Ovis aries: one gene and its partners. The protein of the gene in region 3 binds, or shares a complex with, the protein of the main gene of each other region. Links are inferred from orthologs where the notes say so. Each region holds a gene or a part of one and is shown on either strand. Other genes may lie near its edges.

Region 1 (3,938 bases), on a different chromosome or scaffold from region 3:
GCATGGCAACCCACTCCAGTATTCTTGCCTGGAGAATTCCAGGGACAGAGGAGCCTGGTGGGCTACAGTGCATGGGGTCGCAAGGAGCTGGACGTGACTGAGCATGCACACACGCAGCAGCAGGGCAGGCCCTCAGTAGTGTGTGCACAGGAGGAGGCGGCATAACAGCTAGCTCAGGATTCAGGAGTTACGCCGCCTGAGGTCCAATCTCCACTCTGTCCCCAGCATCTGGGAGAACCTGGCAAATCATGCAACCCCATTAAGCCTCCATCTCTTTATTGTAATATGGGATAGTAACTGGGGTTCCTACTTCATAAGATTATCCAGAGGATTAAAGGAGCTAATGTGTATGCATGCTTGCATGCTAAGTCGCTTCAGTCGTGCCTGACTCTTTGCAATCCCATGCACTGTAGCCTGCCAAGCTCTTCGGTCCTTGGAATTCTCCAGGCAAGAATACTGGAGTGGGTTGCCATTTCCTCTTCCAGGGATCTTCCCAACCCAAGGACTGAACCTGCATCTCTTGTGTCTTCTGCACTGGCTGCTGCTGCTGCTGCTAAATCACTTCAGTCGTGTCCGACTCTGTGTGACCCCAGAGATGGCAGCCCACCAGGCTCCCCCGTCCCTGGGATTCTCCAGGCAAGAACACTGGAGTGGGTTGCCATTTCCTCTTCCAGGGATCTTCCCAACCCAGGGACTGAACCTGCATCTCTTGTGTCTTCTGCGCTGGCAGTCAGGTTCTTTACCGTTCCTGCCACCTGGGAAGCCCTAAAGTGAAAGTGTCAGTCGCTCAGTCATGACTGATTCTTGGTGAGCCCATGGGTGATAGCTCACCAGGCTCCTCTGTCCATGGAATTCCCCTGGCAAGAATACTGGAGTGGGTTGCCATGCCCTTCTCCAGTGGATATTCCCGACCTAAGGACTGAGCCTATGTCTCCTGCATCTCCTGCATTGCAGGCAGCTTCTTTGCTGTCTGAGCCACCAGGAAACATGTGTGAGACATTCTGTATAGTGTTGGGCCCAGAGCCAACACTCAAGGTAAGTGTTAGATATCATGACAAAGATGTTAGATGCTGTACCTATATAAGCCTATGAAATCTTCAGACTTATTATTGACAAATATTGTTATTATGACACCATTATCCTCATTTCACAAACAGGAAAACAGAGGCTTAGAGAACTTAAGTAACTAGCTAAGCATCACATAGTAAATGGAGAAGCTGAGCTCTGAACCAATGTCTGTCCAAAGCTGTCCCTCACTTCCCTGCACAAAAGCAGAGACAAATCACGGGATGTTGGGATTGCTTCCTAAATTGCCCAGACTCGGTTGTCATAGCACTTTTCCAGTGGGCCTCACACTCTCTCCAGTCGGAGCCTGGGGTCACCCTCATTGGTGCTGACCTGAAAAGCCCAGGCTCCCTCACTCCCTGTCCCTTCCAGTCACAGGGCCCTTCTGCAGAACTGATGATCACTTCAGCTTTTGAGGCCCCACGAGGATCCAAGAGATACCGCAGAGCTGTGCTTTCCTGCCCCGTGGCCCACTTTGGGCCCTCCATGTTCCTTCCAGACCTAGGGTTCAGTGCTCGAGTCTCCCGCACCTTCCCTCCTCTCAGAAACGTCTCAGACCTCCTCCATCTTTCTCAAGTGCCTAGTTAAATCCAAACACTTTGGGCAGAGGCTCCACCTGCCTGCCTAAATGGGAAAGTTGAAGATGCTAGAGGAGGAGGATCCTCTCTCCTTTCTGCTCACCACACCCCTGGTCCTCACCTCTCTTTCTCTGAACTGAGAAGCAGAAGTGCCAGGCCTTCCTTAGGTTCTCTGAGGACCTCTGTGGCCTTGGACATCCCTTCTTGGGGGCTGGGCTTTGACGTCCCATATCCCCCAGCTTCTCTGGTGGTGCTTCCTGCCTTCTCAGTCAGCTGTTCCTCAGGGCCCTGGCTTTGGTCTACATTTCCCCAATCCCTATCTTGCCTACTGTGTCAGACTCCACCTCAGGCCAAGTCATTCCCATTTGGGAATTCAGAGTTTGCGGAATCACAAAAGAGGGGCAAAAAAGTTTCCCTGATAGAGTTCTGGCCTAGCACCCCTGGTCTTTTGCTGGTGAGACAGTCTGCACACTTATCACACCCCTGGGCCAGGCTTTCCTCCCAACTGCGCACTTAGGTCTGTGGTCTTAAAAAAGAACTCCACCCTCATCCCTACCTTTGATTCAGACACCCCACCAGGGAACCTCAGCTCCAAATGCTAGCAAGTCCCTCCCCCAACCCGCCTGGGGTGAAGGGGCCCTCCTTCTTGGTGACCAGGGATAACCAGCTTTGTCATGGGAGGGAGGGAGGTGTAGAAGTGTCTAGACCTGCGGGAAGGACTGCAGCCCCAGGAGCTGGGAATAGAGCTCTGTCTTTCCAGGAAGGCTGGGGCCCCGGAACTAGGGACTGCTCTCACTCATGACCGACTCTCATTCCACTTTCCCCTTCTCCATCTCCGGTGACCCTCCCCTGACTCGCAGAGCCAGTTTGCAGTGGCCGTAGGGAGGAAGGAGGCATGGTCAACTTCATATGGGGGTGGGGGCTTCCCATAGGTACAGGCCGGCCCTTCCTTCTCACGGGAGCCAAGGTCACCTGCAGACTTCGGCCAGGTGGGCTGACTCTGTGGGGTGCTCCCATGCCCTGTGGGGAGAGTGGGGGCAGAGAGCTCAGCCCGCTAGGGGAGACCGGGGCCGGGTGTTCTCTCTCCAGAGGTTACCTCACCGCTCCCGAGACCTGGCCTCTCACCTTCCCGCAGGTCCCCACGAACGCAGGTTGTTAGGGACGCCGTGCGTCGCTAGGGGGCGGGCCCTCAAGGGCGGGTGCGCATGCGTTCTCCCGCAAGCTGGTTGACTGCTATGCGCTGTGCGAAGGCAGGGCTGCCGGACTTCGATGGTTGTAGCAGCACGCCTTGGCCCAGGATCGATGCAAATACGTGTCCCCCTCTAAGGCACTATGTGGAGCCCAGAGCGGACAGTGAGAACTCTGGCATCCGGACATGCTTTGTGCGTCGAGTGGACATATTTAGGAGCAGTGGGTTTCTGCAGGGAAAGGCAGGGAGCTGCGGATGCGGCAGGGCTCCTGGTCTACTACGGGGCTCTTCCTTCTCCGGCCTTTTGTGTGGAAATGGAGATGGGGATGACGAGTGGGAAGACGGTCCAGGAAAAGCACCAGTGGCCATTCCCTTCCGGAAGAGGATGATGGAAGGGCACGTGCAGTTCTTGGAACTCCCCTGAGGCCCTCAGCTGACCACTGGCTGCAGCATACCTTTGGAGCCACCCTCGGCCTTTCTCCAGGTTGTCAGCAAGGCTGAGTTGGCACCAGGCAGGAAGACCCCAGGCCTCCACAGCGCTCCCTCCACAGCCCTAAGCCCGACACCAGGAATGACCAGCTTCTGTGAAATGACTAGCTTTCATAGAAAAGGAAATTGTCCTTCAAGAGGGGAAGAGCAACCAAGGGTGATTGGTTCACTAGAAGCAGAACTTAAATTTCAGTTCTGATGATTACTAGCTGGGTTACCCTGGATAAGTTACAACCTTAGAAGCTCAGTTAACTCATCAACATCCCCCCCCCCCCCCCCGCCACCGCCCTGCCCTAGTATCCTCACTGTGGTGACTATATGTTAAGATCCAGGCTTTCAGTCAGTGTACTGAACAGTGGCCCCTGCCACAGTAGCTAAGATCCACAGTTGCGACCTCTCGGGACTGCAAGCAGCCAGAGGCCAGGGGCTCCAGGCCCCTTTCAAGCCCTCATCAGTGATTTACCAACTAATCACCACTGCCTCAATTAGAATGAGCAATCACGCAAGAAATGCTGTCAGGAAGGCCTGCTCTGCTCTAAAATTTTGACTAAATGCCCCCAGAACTTCGCAGCTAGGGAGGCTCTGACTTGGGGATGGGTTCCCCGAGTTCCCCTTCC
Region 2 (4,248 bases), on a different chromosome or scaffold from region 3:
TCACATAAGTAATAAAGGCCTATGCTTAGTGCTTTCAAGTTCTGGCTGCTCATTCCTCAACGCTAGAAACTCAGGAGTCATTTCTGCTTCCTCCTTCATCCTGACATCAGCATTCCCCCAATTCAAATCATCACCAGGTCCTGTGGATTTTACTTTCAATTTCTATTTCCCCCAATACCCTGCTGAATCTAGCTGTTGTTTCTTGCTTGAACTACTCTAACAGCTTCCAAATTAAAGGTGATCTTTTTGAAATAAAGGGCTCATCGTATAAAGTTGAAAATTTCATTGTATTTCTTAGAACCTCTCAATGGTTTCCCATTAACTTAAGAAAAAAACTAAAATTCTTAACTTGGACCATAGGGCTGCTCCTCTGTTCCTCTCCAGATGCATCTAGCACTGCCCTTTTATTGCTCTCATGGGTCCAGCTTCAGTGGGCCTCTTTCTTCTAAAGAATCATGCTCTCTTCTAACTCAGGGTGTTTGCATATGCTATTCTTTCAGCTTGAACCACTCTTCCCCTAATCTCTTCCACCTTGTAAAGTCCTACTGGTCCATCAGGTACCAGCTTCAACCAGTGGCATTTTGCTGTGTATCTACCACTTTGCCCAGCTAGAGCCAAGCTCCATGAACCATTTTTTTCTCACACCACCTTCTATTTTACTTGCTCCTTGTCTTGCTCTCCTACTAGGATGTAAGCTCCATGAGGACACAGATTTCTGTTGTTCTGTTTACCGCAGCATCCTCCAAGCCAAGAAGAAAATTTCGTACATGGTAGTCAGTCATTCAACAAACTGTTGGAAAAAAAGAATGAATCCATCAGTTCAGTTCAGTCGCTCAGCTGTGTCCGACTCTTTGTGACCCCATGAATCGCAGCATGCCAGGCCACCCGGTCCATCACCGTCTCCTGGAGTTCACTCAGACTCACATCCATCGAGTCAGTGATGCCATCCAGCCATCTCATCCTCTGTCGTCTCCTTCTCCTCCTGCCCCCAATCCCTCCCAGCATCAGTCTTTTCCAATGAGTCAACTCATTCTCATGAGGTGGCCAAAGTACTGGAGCTTCAGCTTTAGCATCATTCCTTCCAAAGAAATCCCAGGGCTGATCTCCTTCAGAATGGACTGGTTGGATCTCCTTGCAGTCCAAGGGACTCTCAAGAGTCTTCTCCAACACCACAGTTCAAAAGCATCAATTCTTCGGTGCTCAGCCTTCTTCACAGTCCAACTCTCACATCGATACATGACCACAGGAAAAACCATAGCCTTGACTAGACGGACCTTAGTTGGCAAAGTAATGTCTCTGCTTTTGAATATACTATCTAGGTTGGTCATAACTTTTCTTCCAAGGAGTAAGCGTCTTAATTTCATGGCTGCAGTCACCATCTGCAGTGACTTTGGAGCCCCCAAAAATTAAGTCTGACACTGTTTCCCATCTATTTCCCATGAAGTGATGGGACCGGATGCCATGATCTTCATTTTCTGAATGTTGAGCTTTAAGCCAACTTTTTCGCTCTCCTCTTTCACTTTCATCAAGAGGCTTTTAGCTCCTCTTCACTTTCTGCTGTAATGGTGGTGTCATCTGCATATCTGAGGTTATTGATATGGATTCTCCAAAGAGCAACACAAATAATGTGCAATAATTAGGAAAGGTAAATCTCAGGCATCCACTAAGCTATCCCATTCCAGTGCACAAATATTTACTGAAGACCAATTGGACATGGGCTAGGTGGCAGGCACTTGGGAGTTTAGCAACTGCTGTCGTTGTTAAGTCGTGTCCAACTTTTTTGTGACCCCATGGACTCTAGCCTGGCAGGCTCCACTGTCCATGAGATTTCCCAGGCAAGAATACTGTAGTGGGTTGCCATTTCCTTCTCCAGGGGATCTTCCTAACCCAGGGATGGAACCTGCATCTCCTGCATAGGCAGGGGAATTTTTTTTTTTTTTTTACCGCTGAGCCACCAGGAAAGCCCTTTGGCAGCTGAGTTCTCCTTAAAAGGCAACAAGACTTTGTCAGGGATGTTCTCTTCACCCTCGGAGTCAAAACGAAGAACGGCGGTAAGAACTTAAGTCATTTCTCTAAAGAGATAAAGGGGTAAAAGGAGGAAAGGATTAAAAGGGTGGTAAGGGGCGGAGGGTGGTTTCCAGGTGGCTCAATGTGTAAAGAATTCGCTTGCAATGCAGGAGCCAAAGGAGACGCTGGTTCGATCCCTGGATCGGAGAGATCCCCTGGAGGAGGGAATGGCAACCCATTCCAGTATTCTTGCCTGAAGAACCCCATGGACAGAGGAGCCTGGCGCGCTGCAGTCCATAGGGTCGCAAAGAGTCGGACACGACTGAACAAGGTCGCAGAAAGGCAGAAGAGGGCTTCCCAGGTGGCGCTGGTGGTAAAGAACCCGCCGGCCAATCCAAGAGATGCAGGTAAGCTCCTAGGGTGGGGAAGATCCCTTGGAGAACACGGTAACCCACTCCAGTATTCTTGCCTAGAGAATCCCAAGGGTAGAGCCTGGTGGAGGACGGTGCATAGAGTCGCAAATAGACGCGACTGAGTATATATGCATGCAAAGGGGTAGGAAAGGTATAGAGAATTAAGAGCTTTCTCCTCCTTTCTTGCTCGCGGTCTTTCTCTTCCAGGCTAGGATCCGAGAGCTTCCGTTTGCCCTACTCCTAAGTGGTAAGAAGGAAAAATACCCGCTTGTTGGCGAACCAGTTCTAGGGTACTCGAAGCGTAGGTCGTCCTCCCCTCCGGCTTCACTTTGCCAACTACACCCCCGGAGGCCGTCGGAACCAAGCTAAGGTGTTTCTGTGGCAACGGACAGCTTCGGAGGACCTTTTCTTCTCTTTTAGCTGGCTACTATTTTGCCTCCCTGTGTTCCAAAATAATACATTTTGCAGCTTACAAAGATAAAAGGACTTAGGGAGAGAATTGTACAGGTGATTTTGAGCGTGGTTCATTTCAGTCAGAAGGCGATTTCTGAGGCTTTTTTGGCGGTCGCGGAAGTTACCTAAACGGGGGCGGGGCGGAGATGTATTTACCCACAAGACCACGCGGCGGGTCCTCGCTGGTCTCTTTCAGCCATCTTGGACCCTGTGAAGGTGTGTAGACTTCCTGCAGCTGAACTTTGGGGGCAAATAAGTGGGGTAGGCTCGGCTATATCCCTCGGACGAGGCACGGGTGTGACTCCGAGGCTCTACCAGCTAACGATTTCTGTGATTTCCAGCAACGGGGAGGACAGGATGGAGGAGATATGGGACTGATGGTGCTGGTTCCCTGACCTCCGAGAATGGGTGCTCCGGTAACCAGTTGCTTCCGGGCCCTAGCGGAGTAAAATACAAAACAGATGCATTTTGTCTGGCAGCAGCGGCACCTTTAGGCAGGGTTCTTTGTCCATTTACTGCCACCTCAAACCTGTGTTCTGCATGTTTACTGTGTCTTTCCTTAGCTTTTCTTTCCCGTTCAGTGTGGCTTCCCTGGTGGCTCCCACGGTAAAGCGGCTGCCTGCAATACGGGAGACTCGGGTTCGATTCCTGGGTCAGGAAGGCCCCCTGGAGAGGGGAATGGCAATCCACTCCAGCACTTTTGCCTGGAAAATCCCTAGGACGGAGGAGCCTGACAGGCTACAGTCCGTGGGGGTCGCAAAGAGTCGCGACTCTTGAGTCGCACGACTGAGCGACTTAAGTGTGTAAAAGTGTTGTTCTTAAGACTTTCTTTTGGTGTTTCTAGCAGTTATGTCTTGTACTGTAGAATTTTGCCACTTTAGTTATCTTCATTTTGGCGTTTGCTTAGTTACTTAGCATTCTTTGAGTTTGGGGTGCTGTTCCACAGGAAGCTAGTAGGTTGGAAACGGGCGTTGCGGGGTTTTAAACTGAGTATTTTTGTTTGCAGGCCTGCTGGGAACGGGACTTCTAAAACGACAAATATGTCTGGAAGGTATGTGTTTTAAATATCATTGCTTTGTACTTACAAGTGTACTTGTTTATAAGGCATGATCGTAAATGTAAGTTTAAGTCTGGTGGGGAAAAAAAATAGATGTTTGGTGTAGGTAAATTTAGGTGGGGATCATCACAAGTCAAACCATAGCTGTTGCTTGTTGAAGTTAAGTGAGATTTTAACAGCTTAGAATTAACAGTGTATTTTGTCTTAGGCTGTGGTCCAAGGCAATTTTTGCTGGCTATAAACGGGGTCTACGGAACCAAAGGGAACACACTGCTCTCCTGAAAATTGAAGGTGTATATGCTCGAGATGAAACTGAAT
Region 3 (4,261 bases):
GGTCATAGCAAACACCCTGTTCCAACAACACAAGAGAAGACTCTACACATGGACATCACCAGATGGCCATCACCGAAATCAGAGTGATTATATTCTTGGAAGTCAAAGACGGAAAAGCTCTATACAGTCAGCAAAAACAACACTGGCAGCTGACTGTGGCTCAGATCATGAACTCCTTATTGCCAAATTCAGATCTGACCACAGCTGGCCTGAATCTCTCATCTTACTACTGCCTGGACCCCGAGAGCCTCCAAGCTCTGCAGACTGACCCCTGCCGTGTCACAGGACAGGAAGTAAACCTGTAGGCAGGAAACAGTCTGATTGTTGGGGTGACACAGCGGGTAAGCCAACCTCCATGAGGCATCCCCAGTGACCCCCTCGAAGCACAGCCTGACCTCATTACCCTCTACAGACTGCCGATGGCTTCCCTGTGTGAGAAAGAGAGCCTGTTCACCACTTTCAAGGGCCTCTGCCCAGCTCTCCATCTTCAGGTCTTATGCCTTGTTGAATCTCCCTTGATTTCTTTTATCTTAAAACCATCAAAAGTAAGTAAGGGTCATGAACACTTCCAGACCACATCTGCTCTCATGGGTTGCGCAAGTTATAGGTTTTGGGAGCCTTTCAATTGAAACTGTAATTAATCAAATCATGTTCCCTAGCTCTTAATGTCATCGAAATGAACATGCGGCCTAAAATAACTCACAGTGTTTAATGGTAAATCAAATAAATGAGAATGCTGTAAGTGTATATACTATGATTAACATCTCCGTAAACAGTAGGGGCCTAAAAAGGGTAAGAATGAAAGAAAACTTAAAATAGCTTTATATCAGAAAAACATTTCCTTCCAAGTTCCTACTACCCTAGCGGAAAGTTTACCCATCACACGTGCTGCATTGTTTCACATGTCCTGGTGTGGGCAGACGGCAGGAGCCAGACTGAGGGGAAGCAGACAAGGAGCCGGGGTGCTGCAGTCTAAAAGAACTTCCTAGGACCAGCGTGGGGCAGCAAACCCATCCCACCTGCCCCAGCAAGGGGCCGTGGCCCAGCCAGCCCGCTCACCTGCTCCTTGCTCATGTCCTCCGGAGCCAGCCCATCAACAATCGGAGTGCCTTTGCCTTTGCCTTTCTTCCCTTTCTTTTTGGGCGCCTTGGATTGAAGAATACATGGTCGGGTTAGGGTTCACTTCTGGCTGGTTCATTCCCTTTCAGGGCCATTCGGGAGAGGAATTTCTGCCTGGAACCTCTATCTGACTGCCCACTGTCTCAGGCTTCCACCCGGGCCGCCTCACTCTGCCCTAAGGTTTCCCATCCTTAACCACAGGCATATTCTGTGGACAGCAAAGAGAAATCTCCCTTCTCAGAAGAGAATATTGCTTCCCCTCAGAAAGGAAGAGGGAGAACATGTTCCTTGTATACAGCAGAGACTTCCTTGGTGTGGAGCAAAAGCTACTCGGCCTCACAAAGGAGTATCCCCAGCAGCACAGACTATAGTGCTTGGCAAGTGCCAGAGAGAAACCTGCAATATATCGCTCCATGGGCGCAAGGTGGGTGCCTCAGAGACCGGGGGTGAAGACTGCTGGCACAGACTGGCACTCACACACTGTGGGCTCTGTCAGTGCGGTGACGCCTGCTTTTAACCACTTCTCCACGGTGCCAGAGGGGACCTTCTGCCCCACTGCGTCTCCAGGGGCCACTCAACAGAAAGAAAACTAACGCCTTATCCTCTGCCCTCACTTCTCACAAGTTTCTGTGGCTCATGCTTTTGTCTATAAAGAGGCATGCATCTGCACGTCTCTGTAACATTTTTATTACCAAAAAAGTTTATGAGGAAATGTTAGAAAGCATAGTAACAAAAAAAAAAAAAAAGGAAAATCATGCATATTTCCCTCAAGTTAGTGAAAGTAGATGTATTTTGGTGATCTTTTCCCAGCTGACTTGCAAAAGACAGAACCGCTGAAATCTTCACTCCTAAAACACTGCCCTCTTTCTAACCCTCTACTCCAAGAAGTCCAACCCATCAGAAGAGCCCAGGAGCTTACTCAGCATCTGGGAGTAAGGCAGTGGTTGGGGCCTCTAGAGCCCCTGGGGCCCCCACACACAGAGGGGTCCCCGCACTGATGGCCACCCTGCCACACCTGCCTGGAAACTGGGTGACCTACAGCCCATACAGCACAGGGGGGAGTGAGCAGCTGAGAGCCCTACCACAGAGGGGTGGGGACTGAGAAGCCCAGAGGCAGCAAGCTCCACTCTGCTCAGTTCCCGCCTGACTCCTCTCAGGTTTGCCCAAGCTCTGCCCTGGGGACTTTACGTGCGCTGGAACCGCTGTCAGGACCCTCTGGCCACCATGGTATACCCCAGGTTCCCGATCCCAGAGGCTGGAGGACCTCTGTTTCCCAAGGATCTGATCAATGAGCCTTCCATTCCAGGTAGGGTAGCCACTCGACCCAGGTTTTCCGGTCCGGACACGTGCACACCAGTCCCTAGGTCTGGGGGCGGGAGAGACGGTGCTCTCTGACCACCACCCGGGTGTGTACAAGATTCTGGAGAGACCAAGTCTCTCAGCTCCACGGGGAAGCCGCGTCTGCGAGGACACCCCGCCCCCCACCCCCTAGAGCACCAAGCCCGCAGCTCCAAGACCCCAAAGCTCCAGATCTCCCGTCCCGGGGACTCCCAGCGCCCAAGGCCAGCCGACCCCTGAGCCCTAGGGCTCCGGCGCGGACCCTATGAGACCGCCTCACCATGGTTGTGGTTTCCCGCCTGCGTGGACCAACAAACCAAAGTGCCCGGCCTTCCCAGGATGCGCCGTCTCCAGGCAACGACTGCACGATCCCGCGCGAAGTCTCGAGAACCATCGCGATACCCCGCAGGCAGGGCCGGTGCCTCGCAACGGCGGGAGTCCTTAGCAACTAACCAGGCGGAGTCTGTAGATTTGGGCCGAAGCTGGACATTATCCACAAGCTACCTCTCCAAGATACCTGGGAACGCATTCCTTTCGGGACAGGTCTTGTTTACTGCGGGTCTTCCCCACTAAAAGTTAAGCTCCACGGAGGTTGGAGGAACGGTTTCCGTCCACTTGTTACGTACTCTACGTGGGTACAAGACCTACAGTGCATGAACTCAAAGAGTGAGCGAGGGGAGGCGGCCACACCGCGACTTTACCCAAATTAGATTCAAATTCTCGCGGAACCTCTGCTCTGGGGCCTCACCTCACCCTGCCCCCCTTTGACGATTCCTCCCACCTGAGGCTGGAAGACAGCTGGATTTCCACAAAGCCTCAGAGGAAGCAAAAGTAAGGCGAGAAAATTATATTCCAGCGGGGTCCACAGTTTTGAAATCAACAAGTCTCCCCTTCACAAAAACTAACTGCTCTTCCTAAAGAGACTTTGTCCTCCTGGTGAGGAAAAACTAGAAACCTTTGCTACGGGCTTCCAGACGAGCTCTGCAGGGAAAAAAAGTCTTCAGGGGTTTTCTTCCCTCTAACCTCTTGCTCTGAAAACTGCTAACTGCTTTACAAATTGCAGAGAGAATTTCTGATCCCTCTTACCATCCAGCTACCTATACCCAAAACAACACCATTTGTTGTCTTGTTTTCCACACTCAACATTAGCATCTTATGAAATAGTGGTTTTGCGGCAGGTCAAGCTTTTCTGTCAGTTTGGGAATGGAGAGGAATCTTCTCTCCCTGGAGAACTGCCTTGGGCACAGAGTGTGAATAGTGGAGAAAGGCTCAGGTCAGGGAAGAGAGCCACAAAAAAGAGCCTGGGGGTTTCCTCTTTGCCCACCCAAGACTTAATTGTTCCTGGAGAGGAATGGCCCTTTGGAGGGACTGTATCAACCGACTTGCACAAAGAGTGACATTTATAGCAGTCCCAGGGCCTCTGGGAGGTCTGATGGTGTCTCTGTGCCTGGGCTGACAAGAGCCTGAGCCTGTGTCAGACACGTCTGGTCTGATAGGGGTCTTCTCCCCTAAGGTAGGCTCCTCCCACAGGGGTTCTGGCAAGTAAGACAGTGCAGCCTGGTAGGACAGAGTGCTAATGATTATTATTTAGCACTTACTATGCTAGGTGCCTCATGCTGACTGGCTTTTTGCTTTAGAATTCTGGCTGGGAGTCCTGAATTAAACGAATGCATTAACAATAATTCCTTTCAACAAAAAGGGCAAGAATAGGAGGGTTAGCTCAGGATAACAAGACAGGGTATTCGTTTGTCACAAATGAACAGCACAGCATGGTTTATCAGTGTGCACTGCCGAGATGAAGAGT
Region 4 (4,178 bases), on a different chromosome or scaffold from region 3:
AGAAAATGAAGTTTAAATTCTAGGAAGTAAAACCTTTCACTTTTTTTCCTAACTTCTTGTTTTGTTTTGTTTTGTTTTTAAATCTTTCTGCTGAGCTGTGCATGGCCTGGGGGATTTAATTTTAAATTTTCATAGTATATTTCACCATATACAAAAATATATTCCATAGGGATAAAAATTCGAATACTAAAAAGAACACAATCCAGGATTTCCTTGGTGGTCCAGTGGTTAAGACTCTGAGTTTCCAATGCAGGGAGTACATGTAGGATCTTAGCTCGCTCCCCATGGAACCTGCCTCCCCTGCATTGGAAAGGCAGAGTTTTTTTACTCCAAGTGGCATGTAGGATCTTTGTTCCTCCAAACCATTCCCTAAAGAGCAACAAGGGTGATCTTAACATGCTTAGAAAGTTGAGAAATTCTCACACTAGGTTGTTGGCCTGTGGGTAAGAGCTATAGCCATATGGAAGGTCAAATGGACACTCCAAAACTGCACCCAAGTGCACAAAAAGCAATACTGTATACCAGGGCTACGGTAGGGATTAGCATCACCCTTAGGGATCTCAAGGACTTCCCAGGTGGCTCAGTGGCAAAGAAGCTGCCTGCCAATGCAGGAGACGTGGATTCAATCCCTGGGTTGAGAAGATCCCCTGGAGAAGGAAATGGCAGTCCATTGCAGTATTCTTGCCTGGAAAATTCCATCGACAGAGATGCCTGGTGGGCTACAGTCCACAGGGTCACAAAGAGCTGGACATGACTGAGTGGTTGAGCACACAGTACAATTAGGAATCTCACAGATGTGGGAGTGGTGGTGCCTATCAAATCACCATTTAATTCACTGGTCAGGTCCCTGCAAAAACTGGATGGATGGAGCCAAGAAAATGATTGTCAATTACTGCAAGCTCAAGCAAGCAGCAGTCCTAATTGCAGCTGTCATGCAGGTCCTTGCTTGAACATATAAGTGTGGCCTTAGGTACCTGGAATGTGGCCACTGATTGAGCCAAATATGCTATTTCTACCTCAGTCAGGAAAAAGGATTAGGAAGTTCATATCGAGGAGGAACAGATAATACACACTCATACAGTCCTCATACTTGCAGGGCCATGTCAATGCTCCTGAGCTGACAAACTAGAGTCTAGATAGATCAGGACCACTTGGATATCCCACAGAGCATCACACTGATCTGTTATCTCAGGGCTGCCAAACTTTGGCTGATGGGCCAAATCTGATTCACTTGCTTTTGTATGGCTCAGGAGTGAAGAATGATTTTTTTACATTTCAAATGGTTTTTTGAAAAGATCAAGACGAATAGGCAGAGTGCAGGGGATTTTTAGGGCAGTGAAACTCTTCAGTACAGTACTGTGATGGGTAGATACATGTCATTATATATTTATCAAGATCCAACTGTTGTACCAATGTACCATTCTGGTGGAGAATATTGATAGTGGAGGAGGTTATACATGTGTAGAGTGCGTGTTAGTCACTCAGTTGGGTGTGACTCTTTGTGACCCCATGGACTGTAGCCCACCAGGCCCCTCTGTATGGGATTCTCCAGGCAAGGATACTGGAGTGGGTTGCCATTTCCTTCTCTAGGGATCTTCCCAACCCAGGGATTAAATCCAGGCCTCCCACATTGCAGTTAGATTCTTTACCATCTGAGCCACCAGGGTAGCTTCATACATGTGTAGAAGTAGGGGGTAAATGGGAAACCTCTGTAGTTTCCACTCAATTCTTCTGTGAACCTAAAACTGCTCTAAAATATGAAGTGTATCAATTTTAAAAAAAAAGATCTAAAGATGAAGAATATTCTGTGACACACGAACATTATATGAAATGCAAATTTCAGTGTCCTTAAGTTAAGTTTTTGTTGGAACACAGCCACATCACTCTGGGCCCCTTGTGTCCAAAGACCGGCAGACAACAAGAGAAGCACCATCTTGGCAAGGCAGCTGACCCTGACCAGCAGGACGAGGTATAAGCGCTGTCACACAGTGCGGTGTTCAGGCAGTCACAGGTTCACGCAAGTTCCCCTCGATCCCCCTTCTTAAGACAGGCCACAAAGTCTGTGAGTGGACGAGGGTGGCAACCCCAGCCTGAGAATGGTACAGTTATCAGCCTCAGACTCTGCAGGAAAACGGTTTTGTGTCACACAACCAGTTAAGCCACTGAAACCAACAGAAGTGATAGCCGAGGTCTGCTCTGTAACCCCTTGTGGAAGGAAGGCACGCTGGGAGGCAAGGAGGAAAGAACGATCTCGGGGGACCGGTCATGAAGCCCCAACATCTTCAGGTACGGCCCACAGTGCCTGGCGCAGCAGGCTCTCCGTGAACGTGCTGGAGGGATTCCTGTTTCCATCTTTGACTTTGCTAAGTGTATTCAATGCTTTAATATCACATACTTTGTTTGAACCTTCTGGCAGAAAAGTTTTCTATCTCATCAAGAAGCAAGACCAGCTCACACGTAGGGCACGCGAGCCCCTCACCACAGGGGCTCCGGCCTGGAGAAGCCACCCCCTCATTCCAGCACCCAGGTCACCTGCACCCCGGGCGCTCCTTGGAAGAACGCGCCCAAACCCTGACTCACCGCCTCCGAGCTTCCAGGCGCGCCGCAATGCGCAGGCGCCGGGCCTGGATCCGCTCCTGAGGATTATCAGAATGTACGGAGGGTCCGAGAATTGGGGTGGCTAAATGTTCATCCTCCTTCTCCTCCAGGACCCCCAGGGATCCTGGCGGATTCATGGCAGGTGCCTTCCGCCCCCCGGGCAGCCCTGCCTGGACCACCGTGGGACTACAGTTTGGTTGCTAACAACAAAGCTGTTGCCAGGGAAATGCAGTCACCTGACCCGCAGCTGGCGTGGTTGCGCGCGCAGCCCCTAAGGCCGGGCGCACTGGTGTTCTTAGCGCCGTTGTCTCAGCTTGGGGTTTTATTCCTCTGCTGCAATTACGGTGAGGACTGTATTGAATCCCCCACTAAGGCTCAGGTGGTATTAACAGAGGCCGGAAGACTTAAGAGCTGAACCAAGTTGTGATTCATCACTTACCTACCCTATGATTAATTCATCCATCAAATAAATAATCCTCAAAATCACCGTATTCAGCTAATGTAATTCAATGTCTACTCTATGCCAATCACTGTGCTAGCTCCGAGGATCCAAGCGTTGTCTTTTCCTCGATGGAGGGGGTAGAATAATAGGTTCACTCAGAAATTCTGAACTAAAGTACATTGCATCCACCTGCTTGTCATCCATTCTTTTTAAAAATTAATATGTATAACTTTACTTTTGGCTGTGCTGGGTCTTCTTTGCAGCAGGCGTTTTTCTCTAGCTGCCGCGAGCGGGAGCTACTCCTTGTTGCAGTGCATGGGCTTCTGATTGCGGAGCAAGGGCTCTGGGGCGCAAGGGCTCTGGTAGTTGCCGCTCCTGGCTGCAGTAGTTACAGTCTCCAGGCTCCAGAGCACAGGCTCAATAGTTGCAGCACACAGGCTTAGTTCTTCCGTGGCACGTGAGATCTTCCCAGATCAGAAATCCAACCTTTGTCTCCTTCACTGGCAGGCGGACTCTTTACCACTGAGCCGCGGAGGAATTCCCATCATCCATTAGTGTTTGAGCTCCTACTTTGTGTATTCAGCCTCTATCGTCTCTAGAATGTGAAAACCCCCTGCCATCAATAAATGTATATCCAACAAGGAACCGTTGTCTTATGTAGCGGTTTTCAGTAGGGCTGCACTCCCTCCATTACTACCCGCAATCACATACAGAAAAAAGAGGAGAGCAGAGAAAAACAGGTAGGAAAGGGAGTGAGGGGGGAGGAATGAAAGTTAAGAGCACAGAAGCACATTTAAACTTTCGAAGGACTACTGTCCCTTGAAAAGCACTATTTCCTGGGTGTTTTGTACGTGTCAATTGTCGCACTGCGACAAAAAATGCACCGCGTTCTTATGTAGCATTAAGACTCATTCGAAAACAAGCAGGATAACATTTGATCGAACCTTGTACTACTGGCCTGAGAGAAACTCGGAAAAGGGCACTAGGGTAGTAAGAAATTGCAGACAGGCCCTGCCACCTTGGGTATGGCACAATTTACTGTTTTCTCAGCTGTACTGCCTGCCTACTTAAATCACAAGCAACAGTGAGGCCAAAGAAGATAAGCCCCTTGTCAATAAGCCGTGCTGCTGCTGCTGCT
Region 5 (3,981 bases), on a different chromosome or scaffold from region 3:
GCAATCTACACACTTCTGGAAAACTTAATCCTCCTCTGTGCCACCAGACTTGGGCAAGAAAGTTACAGCAATTATCCATCCTGGTATTTTCAAAAAAAGAAATGAAGGTAGGGAATCGAACCCTACACTCATCCAATTAAGATCCGCCTTTTGCACCTGGGCTTCCCGACCTGGCTCTTCTCACCATCCTCCCTCCCTGGCTGGGCTTCTTATTTACTCCCAGCACAAGGAAGCCATAGAGAAGGAAATGGCAGCCCACTCCAGTACTCTTGCCTGGAGAATTCCGTGGACAGAGGAGCCTGGTGGGCTGCTGTCCATGGGGTCGCACAGAGTCGGGCACGACTGAAGCGACTTAACGTGCATGCATGCATTGGAGAAGGAAATGGCAACCCACTCCAGTATTCTTGCTTGGAGAATCCCAGGGACAGCGGTGCCTGATGGGCTGCCGTCTGTGGGGTCGCACAGTCGGACACGACTGAAGCGACTTAGCAACAGCAGCAGCAGGGAAGCCAAGAGCTTCCAAGCAAACGCATTAAAAGATCAAACACAATGACGGGGAGCTCTTGCAACCCCTCATCCAGGGAAAGGCCCAGCCCCAGTCCTCGCCACCTGCCAGGGACTCCGTGGCCTTACCTGCGGACCGCGAGGGGCGCAGCCGAAGCCGGCGGCCGCCTCGTCTCCGGCCCCGCGTCAGCTTGTAGAAGCAGTAGCAGGCGCCGGCCGCGAGGATCAGGCCCGCCGCCACCCAGCCCACGTCCCGGGCGCCGCCCATGCTACCTCTGGGGCCGCGCACAGCGCTGGGCCCGGCGCGGGAGTGTCCGGAGCCAGCGGGTCCAGGCGCCGCCGCCCGGGATGACGCCGCGGGAGAAAGGAAATGGGGGACTGAACTCCGCCTCTCAGAAACCGCCCTGCTGAAAAGTGAAAGAGTCCACTCAGCCCGTACGCTTCCTGGCGGCTTCCTGGAGAGTGGGCGGGGCACGGCTGGAGGCGAGCTAGACTGGGTGAAGCGCTGCAAGCACTGCACGCCCCGAGAGCACTCGCCGGGGGCCGCCCCGGACGCCCGGAGGCGGGTCCCTGCCCCGGCCCGAGGCCCGCCCCTCTTCCGGGCAGGCCACTGAGGGCGCGAGGCAACGCAATGCCTAGCCCCTCCTCCCACGCCGCGCGGTTGCCGTGGCAACGCCGGGACGCGCTAGCCCCTCGCTCAGGAGTGGCTCTTGCTGCTCCGGGCGTGGGGAGGGCCAGCGAGCCACGCAGGATTTCAGTAGGGGCTCAGGTCATGGCCTCGCTGCGCCGGGCCAGCCCCAGGCTGAGGAAATACTTCAGGGAGAACTACATTCCTCAGGTCTGCGAGGTACTGGAGCCACATGGCGGCGGAGTTAGAAGAGGGAAGAATGGGCAGAGAATTCCCAGAGGAGGGACTGGAGTTTGGCGAAGAGAGGAAGTGGAGGTTAAGAGGAGCGAAAAGGGAAGAGATGAAGTCAGCTTTGGACAGGACGGCGGTCCGGGCTGAACATACATATCAGAGAGTTGAAGCAGAGGGGTGAAGGTGGCTGAAAGGGGGGATGAATGACATCTCCCAGGGAGAAAGGGGGAAAGACCTCAGGACAGAAACCCCAAACGCCAACTTTCCAGATTTGGATAAGAGGAACTAAGGACTAGAGGAGTGAGGATGAAATGCCTTGGAGATAGAGGAGGAAAAGCAGAAGAGTATGGCTTTATGAAGAAAGTGGGCAATAGTGTCACCTAAGATAAAGACTTGAAAAGTTGTAGTGGATTTGGCCCAGGGTAAGTGTGGGTTTTCAATGGAGTGATGAAGGCAGAAAATAGATTGAGGTTAGCTGAGGAGTGGAAACTGAGATCTTTAGATAGAAAGCAGTCAGCCCTTTGTGTGAAAGGAAGATCCACACAACCAAGGCTTAAATGGGAGGAAAGACTGTCCTTCCCCACCCATCTTGTAACAGGAAGGAAGCAGGACAAGGGGTGGGTAGGCTTTGTAGGCTCCGAGTTAGAAATCCAATAAAATTATCTTCTGGTGACTTCCATTTTCTCTACAAATATGAGGTGAAATGTTTGTCAAGATTGAGGATGTTTGGCAGGGGATGCAGTTGTAGAAGGAGTTTTGAGTAGTTAAGTTATTCAGACAAGGAGGGAGAGTTAGAAGTCCAGGGAAGGAGAGAGAAGGAAGGTGAGGCAGTGTTGAGAGTCCAGCTGGGGGAGTGACTGTCCTACGCAAGTGGGAGGGCAGTTCAGTACAGCCCCCTCCTTTGGGGATGGTAATTTTCAAATATTTATTAAAGTGTTAAATATGAATACCCTTTAACCAAGCATTTCCACTTCTGAGGATCCACTTTAGAGACATACTTGCACATGTAACCAGAAGGATGTACAAGTATATACATTGTAACATTGTCACATAGTGAACGTGGTAAATAAGTCTAAATAAGGGAATGGGCTATTCTGTAGAACAATATATACCTGTGCCTTAAGACAAAAATGCAAATTGCCTAACAAAGTGTACTAACATCTAGCTACCTGAATTCATACTTGTATGCATATGTGTATATGTATATAAGTGTGTTTTTATATGTGTATATATATATGTAAGACAATAATATATGCATAGAATATATGGCAAACTATTAACAGCAAATGTTTTGGGTCTAATCTTTTACTTCATATACATCTGTAGGGTTTTAATTTTTTTATGATGAGTTTCATTCATGTTTTACCTCTATACAATTGTATTTGAAAATGTGTAGAAAGCTTGCTATTTATCTTCCCAGTTGCATGGTTTTCTCAAGCAGCACTCAGTAAATCAGACCTAAGTATACAAATAAGAGCTGATTTCATTCAGGATAGGAGTTTGCCACACATATATAATGGAAGGGCAGTGGGGAGGGAGCTAAGCTTTTGAGAGTGCCTAAAGTGATGGGCCTAGGACTCTAAGGACTGGGTGGGATATGAGAACAAGACATAATACTGATATGTGGGTAGAAAGTGGAAGTTTGTAAGAGGTGAATGAAAAAGGGTAGAGGGAGTATTTGAGTGAGGGAGCTGGAAAAGTAGGAGGTGGGGGCCACAAAGTGGAATGTGCACAATTACCTCTCAGAATCATCTTTTTTTTTCTATTAAAATTTTTTCTTGGTTAGATATATTAACACATGACTTCATAGTATACAATTTCAAACTTTTATAAAGAAAATGAATTTTAGTTTCCATGCGGAGAACCTGAAAAATCTGTGGATCATCGATTTTTCCTTTTTGAAACCATTTTTGTACTATCATCAATGCAAATAGGCCTGGAGGGGTGAAACTATCCTCACACCCAGAGCTGGGGAGGAAGACGGAGCCTCTTCAAAGAATCTAATACAGTCATCCCTCAGTATTCTCAATGGACTTCCCTGGCTCAGATGGTAAAAGCCTCTGCCTACAATGAGAGAGACCTGTGTTCGATCCCTGGGTCGGGAAGATCCCCTGGAGAAGGAAATGGCAACCCACTCCAGTACTCTTGCCTGGAAAATCCCATGGACTGTAGCCTGGTAGGCTACAGTCTGTGGGGTCACAAAGAGTCGGACATGACTGAGTGACTTCACTTCACTCAGTATCCTCAGCTTTGGTTCCAGGACCCCCATGGATACTAAAATCTGTGCACACTATTTACATACAACCTACATCCATCTTACTGTATAAATCACCTCTAAATAAATCATCTCTAGATCACTTATAGAACCTAATCCAGTATAAATGCCATGTAAATAATTGCCTGCACTTAGAAAATTAAAGTTTTGCTTTTTGAAACAATGGAATTTTTCCCCAGTCATTTTGGACCCACATTTGATTGATTCCATGAATGAAGAACCTGCAGATACAGAGGGCTGACTGTATTTATGATTCAGTGTGAAGCCATTCTGAGTCATAGCTATGTCCAAGTTGGCCATGGAACAGGCAGCACAAGTGGACTTGAGTGGAGGATCAGGGAAG
Region 6 (4,126 bases), on a different chromosome or scaffold from region 3:
AGCAAAAGGCTGGAGAGAGGGGTTTCGGGGAGGGAACAGCTAACCAGGGCAAGCCACTCAGCGTTCTCCCTTCCCCAGATTTATTTTTCCAACTATTCGTGACTCCAGCAAGATGCTAGGCAGCACCCCTAAATGAGGGGTGCCCCCAACATTGCTCCATAAATAATTTAAATAGAAAAATTCAGGAGACTTACTAGAAGGTCAAGAAAATCCACTAGAGGGAGCCCAAATCAACTCAATGCCACAGGGAACCAAGCTGGTTATTTTCTCAGCACCTGTCTGAAAATCAACCACAGACAGGAATAGGGAGAAAGAGGAAATATATTAAGTCACCATAAAAGAAGATAGTCCTGTAAATACCTGGTGAAAATCCAAGCCTTTCAAGATTTACAAAATCAAAGATTTAGGAAACTGAGGCTGAGCAAGGAAAATGACTTACCCAAATTTACATATCTGGAGAAGGGTAAGGATGAGAACTCAAAAGCTCCTGTCTCTAACCAGTACCCTTTCTTCTTGATTTGCATCTATGTCAGGATAGAAGGGCATCGCAACCCACTCCAGTATTCTTATCTGGAGAATCCAATGGACAGAGGAGCCTGGAGGGCTACAGTCCATGGGGTCACAAGAGGTTGCAAGAGTCGAACACGACTGAGGTGACTTAGCACAGCACCTTGAGGTCCTAGGTCGAACTCTCCTCTGTGTCTCATTTATCTGAAATAGGAAACTCTCTCAACCACCATCTCCTGAATTTCTTTCCCTCATTCACCGTAGAATACCTTCCTGAAATCTTCAATTTTAAGCCTATTTAATAATGTCATTTTGTTGATGAGACTTTGGGAAATGTAAATCACCCCAAATGGCTACCGTGAGTTCTTTTCCTCTGTATCAGCGCAATAGCATTATTTTGGATGTGTAAATCTATAATTTGTAAGTGTCCAAATTGCAGGCAGTGCTACATAGAAGTGAATCATATTTAATCAGTTCCAAAGCCCTCTCTCCTCAAACTACACTTAGGATCTGGGGACAAGAAGAGTATTGGCCCTCTGAGACCTTGGTATTTTAAGCATTGTATTTAGCCCCTTCTACCAGACACAATTATAACGACTGAGCAAGCATGCATGTACCTTCCTAACAGCTCCATGTTTCCCAGTTGCCTGGACAACGTGCAGCCTCCAGAAGCCCAACCTTCCAGTTCTCAGTCCCACCCCCAAATGAAATTTGCCACTCTGGATTGGGTCCCAGAACACAATCTCCTCCTCCGGCTCCTAGCTGGTTGGGCCTTTTCTCTGCCCCTCCTGGAAAGTGGGTCACGCCACAGGGAGATACAACAGAGACAAGTGAGGGTCTTGGAGGAAGGAAGAGGCAGGGTAAGGATGATGGGAAGAGAGAAGGGGCCAGGTACTGAGCTTTATTTTCTCTGAAAGAGGGTTGAGAGGAATGATTTCTGTACTTAGAGCTTGACTGGTAGAGAGAAATGGGTTCATCCTTCCCCCTGGCCCCAGCCTTGCCTAAGTTTCCAAGGAAACCAAGAACTGAAGCTTCTGGAAAGTGTAAGAGACAGACTTGGAGATGAGAGCACTAATTCTCCTGGGACTCCTGGTTCCGTCTAGGGAGTCAGGAGAGTGTCTCCATGTCCAGACCTAAATATGAGCCCCCTCCCTCCCTCCAGGACAGGAAGGAGATGCCACCTAAGACCAAAGAAAAAGGGACAAAAGCTGGGGCCCAGAAGAAGAAAAGAAATGCAGGTGCTGGTGAGTCAGACTGGGTGGAGGTGGGTGCCTCCCAGCCTCTCCTTGTTCTGGCTCAGAGACCTCCAGAGAGAATTCATCCCTCTGCGTGACAAGATGGAGCTGTCTTGGCCTTCCCCCTTTATATCCATATTCGGGTGCCATGGAGCTGGGAACATGGGAAAATCAGCACCCATGAATCCCTTCTGGCTGTGTGCCTTCCTTGTATATTCATTACAATCTTTCAAATACCTACTGTGAGCTGGGTAGTGAACTCATTAGGCTTTGCTATCAGAGATCCCTCATTTAATGGTCCTTGTATCTCCCACAAAAAAAAGAGAAGTCCAGGGTATGGGAGGAGGGTGGGAGGAGGGTAGGGAAGGCTGAGATCCTGACAAGCTGAGGGTCTGCTGTCTTGCCAGGGCAGATGTGGAGGCTGAATCCATGCACAGGCTGGCACTGCTGGAAAAGGAGGTGCTCCAAGACCGCTTGGGTAAGAAGGGTAGAAGTTCGGCAACAGAGACAGTGGGCATTTGTGTATCCCTGGGAGCTTAAAGTTTTGGAACAATGGTGGAGGGCTGAGCTGATCTCTAACCATCCCCTAATGGGAAAAGATTGTCAAGAGCTGGGGTCATGAGGACAGGGTGGGCCGTGAGGGTTGATAAAGAAAGCTAACTTTTATAGCTGGAACACAGAGGGAGTTTTTCCCTCTTAGTAACAGAGTCTGTAGGATTCTGAGGCGGGGAAGGGAAACAGAATGACGATGAGAGACTGGCAGGCTGCCGCCAGGTTTCTGAAGGTGGACAGAGTCCATCAAGGCCATGGGGGCTGATTGATTGAGTGGAGCCCCCAACCAGTGCAGAGGGCTGCTCTGGACTGTTCACAGCTCTGCAGAGGGATGAAGCCCGCCGAGCCAAGGCTTCGGAAGACCAGCTGAAGCAGAGGATCAAAGACCTGGAGGCTGAACTGGAGGGGGCCCGGAGCGAAGGGAAGGCCATATATGCAGGTGTGAGGTTGATCGAGCAGGTGGGCGGGAGACAGGGGCCCGGAAGAGGACAACTGGGAGGGCCCAAGGATGCTAGAAAGGGAGACAAGGAGGACTTCGAACCGCCATACCTAGCCTCAGCCCTCCCTGCACCCACAGGAATCCTGAGGGGGCCTTCTGTGGTCTTGGGCAGGAACCTTCCGTGACATGCAGTGCTTTGTGCTTGATGTCCCGTGGACTATGAAACGCAGCCCTAGCCTTTATCTCACTCCTCCCGTGGGAGTGGGTGGGAAGGAGGGCCTGAATTCACATACTGAGCTACCATAGCGGATGGGTGTCTTATTTCCTAGCTCTGTCCCTACCTTCTCAGATCACCACAAGAATCCAGAAGACTTTTTTTTTTTAAGATTTTTTTTTTTTTAATGTGGACCATTTTTAAAGTCTTTATTGGATTTGTTACAATATTGCTTCTGTTTTATGCTTTGGTTTTTTGGCTCTGAGGAATATGGGATCTTAGCTTCCAGATCAGGGATCAAATCCGCGTCCCCTGCATTGGTAGGTGAAGTCTTAACCACTGGACTGCCAGGGAAGGCCCTCAACAGACCTTTATGCACTTGTCCACTGGACCAAGCAGAGCCCTCCCCACCCACAACTTCTGTCCTTTCTCCACTGCTCTCTCCCCATCTGGGTCCCTGGCCACCCACGGCTCTGCCAGAGATGAGTCGTCAGTGCCGGAGCCTGCAGGAGGCGATGCAGAGTCGCACCAGGAAGCTGGAGGAAGAAGTGAAGGGCCTGCAGGAGCAGTTAGGTAGGCTTCCCAGGTGGCCCTAGTGGTAAAGAACCCGCCCGCCAATGCAGGAGACTTAAAAGATGTGGGCTCCATCCCTGGGTCGGGAAGATCCCTTGGAGGAGGGCATGGCAACTCACTCTGTAATCTTGCCTGAAGAATCCCATGGGCAGAGGAGCCTGGATAGCCCCATTCCATGGGGTCACAAAGAGTCAAGCACTAACCGAGTTAGCACGCACACACAGCACACCCTGCCCTCACAGCACTTTCTCTCAGAGGATCACACTGATGTAGTCCAGCCTGAAGGGGTGGAGTTAGAATGGTCTTTCTTTAGAAAACTGCAATTTAAGCTCTCATACTGTCTTCCCCCACTGACTCTTCTACTACTTGCAACAGAAGGTTCAGGATAGCAAAAAATACCCAATCTTAACCTTTTAGTTATAAATGAAGAAGCCCTAACTTTCTCACTGCACCTCCCTCTCTCAATGGTCTCTCTAAAGACAGTTCTTACTCCCCACTGCCCACATGTCTCTCACGAGCAAAACACAGTCTCTCTTAGTTTGGCTGATGTTTAGAATGAAAGCAAGCTTGAATATAACTGTTTGAATTACTTACCTCCGTATCTTC

What was found.
Region 1: GAS8 (region 3) and TCTE1 share a complex: the UniProt entries of both Homo sapiens proteins name them as parts of the nexin-dynein regulatory complex. The link is inferred for Ovis aries from reciprocal best matches to the Homo sapiens genes DRC4 and DRC5.
Region 2: GAS8 (region 3) and IQCG share a complex: the UniProt entries of both Homo sapiens proteins name them as parts of the nexin-dynein regulatory complex. The link is inferred for Ovis aries from reciprocal best matches to the Homo sapiens genes DRC4 and DRC9.
Region 4: GAS8 (region 3) and DRC1 share a complex: the UniProt entries of both Homo sapiens proteins name them as parts of the nexin-dynein regulatory complex. The link is inferred for Ovis aries from reciprocal best matches to the Homo sapiens genes DRC4 and DRC1.
Region 5: GAS8 (region 3) and FBXL13 share a complex: the UniProt entries of both Homo sapiens proteins name them as parts of the nexin-dynein regulatory complex. The link is inferred for Ovis aries from reciprocal best matches to the Homo sapiens genes DRC4 and FBXL13.
Region 6: GAS8 (region 3) and CCDC153 share a complex: the UniProt entries of both Homo sapiens proteins name them as parts of the nexin-dynein regulatory complex. The link is inferred for Ovis aries from reciprocal best matches to the Homo sapiens genes DRC4 and DRC12.

The regions. Positions count from the first base shown.
Region 1 is NC_056073.1:17,779,403-17,783,340, forward strand, and holds the start of TCTE1 (dynein regulatory complex subunit 5), read right to left. Parts: upstream 2,801-3,938; 5' UTR 1-2,800. UniProt on the Homo sapiens protein: Component of the nexin-dynein regulatory complex (N-DRC) a key regulator of ciliary/flagellar motility which maintains the alignment and integrity of the distal axoneme and regulates microtubule sliding in motile axonemes.
Region 2 is NC_056054.1:191,026,690-191,030,937, reverse strand, and holds the start of IQCG (dynein regulatory complex protein 9), read right to left. Parts: upstream 2,801-4,248; 5' UTR 2,685-2,800; intron 2,415-2,684; exon of another isoform or gene 2,178-2,414; intron 2,052-2,177; exon of another isoform or gene 2,006-2,051; intron 791-2,005; 5' UTR 649-790; intron 1-648. Other genes in the region: RPL35A (large ribosomal subunit protein eL33), read left to right, coding at 3,914-3,924, 4,124-4,248. UniProt on the Homo sapiens protein: Component of the nexin-dynein regulatory complex (N-DRC), a key regulator of ciliary/flagellar motility which maintains the alignment and integrity of the distal axoneme and regulates microtubule sliding in motile axonemes.
Region 3 is NC_056067.1:14,319,952-14,324,212, reverse strand, and holds the start of GAS8 (dynein regulatory complex subunit 4), read right to left. Parts: upstream 2,801-4,261; 5' UTR 2,741-2,800; coding exon 2,738-2,740; intron 1,147-2,737; coding exon 1,060-1,146; intron 1-1,059. UniProt on the Homo sapiens protein: Component of the nexin-dynein regulatory complex (N-DRC), a key regulator of ciliary/flagellar motility which maintains the alignment and integrity of the distal axoneme and regulates microtubule sliding in motile axonemes.
Region 4 is NC_056056.1:33,576,709-33,580,886, reverse strand, and holds the start of DRC1 (dynein regulatory complex protein 1), read right to left. Parts: upstream 2,801-4,178; 5' UTR 2,736-2,800; coding exon 2,581-2,735; intron 1-2,580. UniProt on the Homo sapiens protein: Component of the nexin-dynein regulatory complex (N-DRC) a key regulator of ciliary/flagellar motility which maintains the alignment and integrity of the distal axoneme and regulates microtubule sliding in motile axonemes.
Region 5 is NC_056057.1:45,849,464-45,853,444, reverse strand, and holds the start of FBXL13 (F-box and leucine-rich repeat protein 13), read left to right. Parts: upstream 1-1,181; 5' UTR 1,182-1,276; coding exon 1,277-1,351; intron 1,352-3,981. Other genes in the region: ARMC10 (armadillo repeat-containing protein 10), read right to left, coding at 634-772. UniProt on the Homo sapiens protein: Substrate-recognition component of the SCF (SKP1-CUL1-F-box protein)-type E3 ubiquitin ligase complex.
Region 6 is NC_056068.1:29,498,872-29,502,997, reverse strand, and holds the start of CCDC153 (coiled-coil domain-containing protein 153), read left to right. Parts: upstream 1-1,326; 5' UTR 1,327-1,550; intron 1,551-1,669; 5' UTR 1,670-1,681; coding exon 1,682-1,751; exon of another isoform or gene 1,752-2,036; coding exon of another isoform or gene 2,037-2,076; intron 2,077-2,149; exon of another isoform or gene 2,150-2,154; coding exon 2,155-2,220; intron 2,221-2,589; coding exon 2,590-2,733; intron 2,734-3,271; coding exon 3,272-3,520; intron 3,521-4,126. UniProt on the Homo sapiens protein: Component of the nexin-dynein regulatory complex (N-DRC), a key regulator of ciliary/flagellar motility which maintains the alignment and integrity of the distal axoneme and regulates microtubule sliding in motile axonemes.